Linked DNA regions of Cricetulus griseus. The protein of the gene in region 1 interacts with the protein of each later gene in a pairwise test. Links are inferred from orthologs where the notes say so. Each region holds a gene or a part of one and is shown in the gene's direction. Other genes may lie near its edges.

Region 1 (4,123 bases):
CTTTGGGCAAGTCTGTGGGGGCATTTCCCTGATTTATGATTGATATGGGCAGTGCCACCCCTAGGCAGATAGTCCTAGGAGAAAGGTAGGTGACCACAAACCTAATGAGCAAGCTATAAACAGCATTCCTTTGATCTCTGCTTTTGTTCCTGTCTCCAAGTTCCTGGCCTTCATGAGTTTCTGCCTTGGCTTCCCTCAATGATGGTCTGGGATTAGGATGTGTAAAGCAGATAAACCCTGTCCTCTCCAAATTGTTTTTAGCCATGGTCATTGACAGAGCAGTACACAGCAAACTAGAATAGGGCCCAAGCTGCCTTTACACTGTTACTTCTCCTTGCTCATTCTCCCAAGTGCTAGGTTGTCAAGATTGTGCCACTATGCCCAGTTGATTGTAATCTATTTTAACTTAAAGTTAACGTTAATAAAGTGTGAATCACACACAACTTCAATCAATCATCACAACAACCCTTGACTTTACTTAGAGATAAAGAAATAGAAAGATTAAAACAAGGTTAAGGGTGCTTTCTAACAGTGGTATTGAAACCCAGGTTCTGACAGGTTGTTTTGGCATCTAACCCTCAGTTTCTTTATCTCAGGGCTGTTATGAGGGCTGGACTAAGCCTGTAAAGTGCTTAGCTGTAGTTAGTCAGAAAGTGCTCAAAGATATTACTGTTTTTGTTTATTGTCTTAACGTTGTGCTGGGGGCACACAGCTTGGTGGAATTTTAAATATGGAGACATAATATCTTAGATTCCTTCAGACTCCTAACTAGTAATGCGTGTTCACGTCCTGGAGCAGGCATTACCTGTCCCCAAACTATCTGCAGCAAGTCCTGGCTAGTCAGTGGGCCACAAAACCTCCCGCAAGACAAGGTTCAGTGCAGGGCTTTGCCCGTTTCTACCTCGGCTGCTCGCCTCCAGGATACTACTTCCTAAATGCAGTGTGTTCAGTGACTAGGCAGAGGGATGTGTCACAGGCAAAATTACCTAGCTCCAGGACCAGCTCTTTGAAAGGAGTGTGTTGTCTTCCTGAACTGAGGTACAAAGAGGCGTTCCAGCTAGGTGCCCGGACTTTCTGTAGACTACTACTGGGAGATTAGCATTTACTGACCGGGTAAATTTCGACTCTGAGACAGGCAGAAAACTGGATCACACACCGCGGTGTCCTAGGTTTCCAGAGTCACCCCCTACCTCTTCAGCAGGGCCAAGAGCTCTGGGCCCGCGGGCCTACAAGCCCCAGCATGCCTCGGGGAGGCGGAGCACGGTGATGGACAGGCATTCCTGCGAATTGGCACCCGACGTGGGAAGTGCGCGCTGGCGCATGCGCAAAGGGCGGCGGGCGGGTGGGCTGGCTGCGGTGGACTCGCGTCGGAGCCGCGGGCGGTCAGGTAGGGGGAGGGAAGGAGGGTCTGCGACCAGGGACTGTGGTGGGTCGCGGGGCTCCAAGATTGAATGGCAGGATTTGGGGACTGGATCGGAGTGGCAGGACTGGATGGGGGAGGGACGGGCTTGGGAGAGATTCGGTGGGGTTGAGATGCAGCTGGGGGAGGGGAGCAAAGGGGCTGAGGAGATTTGCAGTTGCAGCATCTCGGGAGGTATGAGGTAATGTGGGGGCTGAGCGGAAAGACGGCGTAAAGCATGTGGGAGATCGGGGGTATCTGGAGTCCCTGGAGGGATCTGGGTGCAGAATATCAGAAATAGAAAGGAATTTGGGAGGCATGGATGAGATAGGTTGGGGGTTGGTGGGCAGAAGCTCAGAGGCTTTGAGGAGATGGTGGAATGGGAGCAAGATCTGAGGTCAAAACAGTCAGGGTCTTGGAAAAAATCTAATTGCTGAAGAAAAAGGCAATTCTGTAGTAGAATCTGGGAGAGATTTGAGGGGTGAGTTCCCAAGGAAATCAGTATCCAGTTAGCAAATCGCAAGCAAAGGCTTGAAGGCAACACGTGAGGCAAGACTAGGGTGGGTGAGGGTGGGGGTGGCACTGTGCAAGTCAGGGAGATGCAGATGAGGGCCCGGATTGAAGGAGGCTAGAAATCTGAGGTACAGTGTTGGAGTTTGGAGCTGGCATACAGGAGTGACAGATGTGGAAATTTGAAAATAGATTGAATAAAGGGTGTAACAGGGACCCAAAAGCAATTGGTGAAATGCAAGGTTGCAACATACAGTCTAGAAGGCTGAATTCTAGATTTGGGATTGAGGGTTGGGAATGGGGTTTGTAGAGGATTGAATGGTGGGGACTGAATGTTGTGACTAGATTGTAGTTTGTGAATTGGTTCTTAGGCTACTAAAGGAGGCTTTGTTTGTTTGTTTTTGGTCTCTGCATAATTGAACCCAGAAGGTGTTTGGGAGACCCAGGAACCTGAAAGTAATGTACAAATAAACTATGTATGAATGAATGGAATTTAGGAGAATGCAGAGGTTTGGGAATAAAGTCACGAGTCTTGAGAGATCCTGAAGGAGAGTTTGACATTCTCTGAAGGGCAGAGTCTTCCTTGTACTAAAAGCCCTTTGATCCTGAGACAGACATAGCATTCTCACTGACACTGACTAGCTTAACCTACTCCACGCAGACCTAACATTATAGGCCTTGTGGAAGAAGAGAGGGAGAGGAAGGGAATGAAGCCAGAAACTACCCAAGGTCTTCTGCTATCTGTCCCTTTCCCTGTGCCCCCAAGCTGTAAGAGATGTTTAAGCCCTCCAAGGTATTGAGTCAAATGATCTTGAACCTGACTTTATCTTATTTTAGAAGACCAGCTATGGCACAAAGAGGTAGTGGTTCTGTAAATGAAGTGTTAGGGCTGGGAGAGAAACAAAACAATGTCTGGGGAGCAAGGGAGAGCCTCACATGTGCTGAATATTTAGCCTAACTATGTCATAATCTAAAGCCTTGGTTCTCAGTCAGGGGTGATTTTCTTCTGCCAGAAAACATTTGACAGTGTCTGGATGGGTGCATTGTCCCATCCAGTTGAGGGGGGTGTGGCGGTTGTTAGTTTCTAGATAACAACCCCAACAGTTACCTAGCCAGAAATGCAAATGGAGGGACCTGGCTTCAGAGTCAGATATTCTGAGTTCGAATCCTGGCTCTTTCTCTTCCTGCTTTAGTCTTTAAAGAGTGACTTGACCTCTCAGTGCACTAGCTTTTTTGGGATCTACATCATAAGATTGTTGTGAGGACCAGTGAAATCAATCAGGGGGCTTACTGTCTAGTGCTCAGTAGGTGCTCAGAGTGTACTCCTGTAAAAACTAATAACAGTCCTGCTAAATATGCTTTATTATGTCCTGTGTTGCACATGAAACTAAGGCTTAGGAGGTCACCTGTCCAAGGCCATATAACTAAAAATGGCAAAAGTAAACTGACGTGTGGATACCCACCACAGTATATATCCTCCTTACTTGCTTCTTTGCTACAGCCTGCTTTGTCTTCCCCTTTCAGCCTTTTCTGATGAAAAGGAAGATTGCCCAGCATTCTAAAGCAGTGTGTTTCTTCTTGATCAGGAGAAACCCTGGGCACCCTGTTCTTGGCTTGCTCTTAGACCAGAACCAGTGGAGAGATAATGGAAGGGGCTTGGAGCTAGGCAAGGTGAGGTGTAAGGAGCTACAAACTGAGATGAAGAGGCCACTGGCTTGATAGAATGCCTCAGCGGGGCCTCAGGCTGAAGGCAGTCATGGACTGAAGGAGAGTTGCTACTACTCTGAATGGCCTCTTTTGTGTGTCTAGTCTCTGGAACAAAAGAGTAGTATTGTCTTTATCAGCTCCAAACCCAGCTACAACATTACTGAAGCCGGCTTTAAAAACAAAATTAGACTGGAGCTGAGGGCAGAAGACTTAACTGGATATTAGCACACATCACTTAGGAAAATACCTGATAGGGATTGAGTTAGCCTTGGAATCAGCTTTTTTACTGCTTGCTTGTTGGTGGTCCAGCATGTGTCAGCCTCTGTCCAAAAGCAGTCAGCTACATTGAGTGCTGACAAGCTAGACGTGATTCCTTATTTTATAGGTCAGAATGTTAAAAAGTTAAGTGACATATCTTCGTAAACTACAGAGCAAATGGTTAATCTGGCATGTAAACTCAGTTCTATTTGACTCCTAACTTCTACAATTCTAGTTTTAGAGATCTTC
Region 2 (4,185 bases), on another chromosome or scaffold:
AGAAAAGTGCATCCTAATGGCCCAGAGTCACTGGGAAACAGGCAAACCAAAATTCTCACAGCTTTAAATCCCCTTTCTGTTGTATCATTCGATGCAAATGGCCCTGGGGAAGGTGGGACCTTAAGCAAGGCAACCTCTGTAGCAGGGGCAGACCCTGCAGTTACTGGAAGCTGAAGGCTCTCAGATATCCACATTCCTCACAGCCACTAGGCAGGAAGATCATGAGTGGGCCCTTTAAACTCCTCTCCAGGTCTTCCCCAATTCCCAGCCCCACCACACCATAGTGGGTACCGGGTATCTATTGACTGGGTGGATGGATGAACACTTGAGGCAACCTGGAAGTCTGAATAGGATTTGTGGAAATGGGAAAGGCTGGGAAGCAAAGACAGAAGATGTGGATTTCAACCAAGCGAGGTTCCATGCTAAGTCAACAAGAGCACTGGAGATGTAAAAGAGTAAACAGAGAGCATGGGAAGCAAGGAGGCTAAGGTTAAAGCCTGGGAACTACTAACACTTGAGAACTGTCAACATCAAGAAAGAATAGCCAAGGAAGGAAAACAGGAAAATGCAGAGTGTGGGAGGCCCTGGGAGAGAATGGAGCAAAAGGGAGGAGGCTATAGGGTAAAGGCCAGGAAGAGGTCAAGTCAGATAAAGACTGAAGGTGCCCCTCAACTGGCCATCAGAAGGATGGGGCTGGGTAGGAACAGACCAAGCCTGATCTGGGCCTAGGTCTCTGATGTATACTATGGAGAAGTCTTCATTTGTCCACATCTACTGTATACAGAATCTAACCTGACCAATGACACCCAAGAATCAAGTGAGCTTTGTGGCTTAAAGTCAAGCCACTCCAAAGCTACACAGAGAAACCCTGTCTTGAAAAACCAAAAAAAAAAAAAGAAAAGAAAAGAAAAAAAAAAGTCAAGCCACTTTCCTTGGAGGGAGGCAATAGAAGGAGCGCAGTGACATTTTAGAGTCCTGGGTCTTTGCTGCCAGTCTCTGGTTTGCCAAGGTTGGCAAGTCTACAGTTGCTTCCTAGAGCCTGGGGTACCCAGTGCTTGACTTCAAAAAGAGGACACAGGTGTCCAGATCCCCACAACCTCTGACTTGGGCTCCCCCCACTGCATGGACACCCCAAAAGTGTCTTGTTGTGTGAGCTCAGTTTCAATGGGAACAGAAACTGGATTTAAGAAAAGAGATTATTTACTTATTCCACAGAGAAGGTAACCAAGTAAATAATGCAGTATCCTAAGTGGTACCCAAGCCCTGCCCCCTACCTCTTATGGGCTTCCTGGAACATATAAAAGGCCACCTGATACCCTCACACACTCACACACACTACAATACCACCCCACATCCAGAGACAGCCAAGACTCCCAGATTCCACCATGAAGATTGCCATCACAATCACTGTTGCCATGCTATCCATCTGCTGCATCTCAGGTGAGAGCCCAGGGTCCCTCTCCCAAAGACAGAAGGAAGTGGCCAGTCCCTCTATGGCTACCTGGAGGGCCTGGGTATGATGACTCTCAGAAATGTTGAGTCTGATGACCAACACTATTCTGTGATCTTGGGGGGAAGTGTTGAGCTATTAGAAAGTTTAGAATCACACCTTCCAAATCCTGAACCCTGGCACTGCAGGGACCAGGGAGGCCTGGACAGGAGATAAGGAGTGCCCATCTAAACCAGTACATCTACCCAAAAATGGAGTAGGGATAAGGAACCCTTTGAAGCCCAGTGGCTCAAGATGCCAAGAGCTCTTGAAACAGCCTCCAGGTTAGGGGGCGTCCCCACCCAACTCTGGCAGTCAGTCTGGAAGGGAAAGTACAGAGACTCTTGCCCTCTAACCCAAGGCCAAGTCTCTTGCTCTGGGAGGAAAGGAATATTCCAGAAAGAGATCTTCCCTTTGGGAAACTGCCAATCCTGGGTGGAGTTTTCTAAACATTCTGTCCTCTGGAAAAAAGGATCAGAGGCCTCTGAGGATAGTTGTTGCTATCACTGTGAAGAAAGGAGTGAGAAATGAAAGAGGGAGGAAGGAACAGAAGGAAAGAAGGGAGGGAGGGAGGGAGGTAGGGAAGGGCAATCTATCTCCCTCCACAAATTTTGTGCTTCGGAAATGAGGTTGGGAAAACTTCTCCCACCATCAGTTTCCCCCTCTCCTCTCTGATAATGCTGTATTATTTTCCTAAAAACAAACCCTAATTAATGTCTTTGAAAAGGTTCATAATGTCCGTGGATACAGGCTTTATGACCAAGGAGATTTAGACCCCAAATCAAGGCAAAATGGGAGTGGCTGTTTTTATTGAACACTTTTTTGTTTTCAGGGGAAATGACATCATTTTGGATTAAAATGTTTATTAATTAGATATCGGTGCTGTGCACAGAGGTGGGTGGCTCAGCAAGACAGGGCTAAAACATGTGAAGGGGTGGACTGGCAAGATATTTGCATAGCAATGTGTTCACATATTAAAACTCTGACAGTAAAACTAGTTAATGCTACTTACAACGTGCTAGTCACTGCGCTCAGCCATTTTACAGACTATCCCTTTCATTTTCATAACAACCCAATGAAGCAGAGATGTTGTTCCCATTTTACAGATTAGAAAACTGAGCCCCTGGAAAATGAAACACCCTGCCTGGTGACATTATGGAGAAAGTTTTAAGTTGGAGTGACCAGTGTTTTGGTTTTGAGACAGGGTCTCATTTTGGTCTGAATTCACAGTCATCCTGCCTTAGCCTGCCCAGTGCTATGAGTTATGTAACAAATGTGAGCTACTGGAGTGGCCACTGGAATAGGGGTCAGGTCCTGAGTCAAAGCAGTGAGGCCAAATTTGCACACAATGCAGAGAATTCCAGGGCAGGAAATCTGAGGCTAGGTTAGAAGATGGAGGCAAACAGGGTAGGAAATCCCAGGAGATAGCACAATCCAAACAGCACCCCCTTGCAGGGAACATGGTGAGATGAGAGGCTTGTCTGCAAACTGACTGTGCCATCAGACTAGAATACATATGTGCTTCCATCTTCCAGGCCAGGTTTGGGGACCACGCTGGATTCGCATAAGGGCTGTGCCGTACGCCCTCAGTAACTCATGGCACAGACCACCACTAGCTGTGGGTAGGAGCATTCTGATAGAAAGCAAGGCTCCCAGAGGCCTCCTCCCAGTCCCCATGCTGCAGCAAACAGCCAGGCTGGCAGCTTCTGTTACCCACTGTGTCTAGAAAGATGACAAAAACCGTGGCCAACCCAAGTCAGGAACGGAAAGGCGGCTCAGGAAAGGCAAAAGCTGGCTGTAACCTAGAAAGTGTTCACATGGTACCAGATTTCCACACTTGGAGCCCCACCATTCTGTTCCATCACCCAAAGGCTGCTATGTCTTGCTGACCAGACTGACTGGTCCAGCAGGGTGCTGGCCAGCTTTTAGAGAAGCTGGTCCATGTGCTTTCTTTTGCCCGCACCCCAGCTTCTTCAGACACCTGCCCAGGATTTTTTCAAGTCCTTGAGTTCCTCTTCATGGGCTCAGAGTCCAGTTATGAGGCAGCCCTGAAGTTTTACAACCCTGGCTCAGACCTGCAAAACTCAGGGATCCAGTTGAAGAAGCTGGTGGACACCCTCCCCCAGAAGACCAGAATGAACATCATGAAACTCTCGGTATGGAACGTCCGTCACTCACGTTGCTTCTAAATGGTTCCCCAACTACAGTTTCATACTATTTGGGGAGTTACAAGGCTAATGGATATCCCTGTCATGTCCCTTGCCGCCTTCTTGTGCGTGTGTGTGTGTGTGTGTGTGTGTGTGTGTTTGTTTTGGGTGGGGGGTTCTCTCTGAGCTAGCCTCACTGTCCTAAAACTCCTGGGGTCAAGTGTTCTTCCTTCCTCAGCCTCCTGAGTAGCTGGGACTATACCAGCTCACACACACACACACACGCACACACACACACACACACACACACACACGCACGCACGCACGCACGCACGCACGCACGCACGCACGCACGCACGCATGCACGCACGTGCACACACGCACACGCACACGCACACACACACACACACACACACACACACACGCACACACATGAAGGTCAGAGGACAGTCTTTAAGGAATTGGTTCTCTCCTTCCACCATGTGGGTCCTGTGGATTAAACTCAGGTGGTCAGCTTTGATGGCAGGAGCATTTATAGCTAAGTCATTT

What was found.
Region 2: the proteins of E3 ubiquitin-protein ligase TRIM32 (region 1) and Scgb1a1 interact in binary tests that used the Homo sapiens proteins (3 or more experiments, as listed by UniProt). The two-hybrid records come from large-scale screens. The link is inferred for Cricetulus griseus from reciprocal best matches to the Homo sapiens genes TRIM32 and SCGB1A1.

The regions. Positions count from the first base shown.
Region 1 is NC_048595.1:80,217,887-80,222,009, reverse strand, and holds the start of E3 ubiquitin-protein ligase TRIM32, read left to right. Parts: upstream 1-1,323; 5' UTR 1,324-1,387; intron 1,388-4,123. UniProt on the Homo sapiens protein: E3 ubiquitin ligase that plays a role in various biological processes including neural stem cell differentiation, innate immunity, inflammatory resonse and autophagy.
Region 2 is NC_048596.1:51,011,227-51,015,411, forward strand, and holds the start of Scgb1a1 (uteroglobin), read left to right. Parts: upstream 1-1,385; coding exon 1,386-1,440; intron 1,441-3,457; coding exon 3,458-3,645; intron 3,646-4,185. UniProt on the Homo sapiens protein: Binds phosphatidylcholine, phosphatidylinositol, polychlorinated biphenyls (PCB) and weakly progesterone, potent inhibitor of phospholipase A2.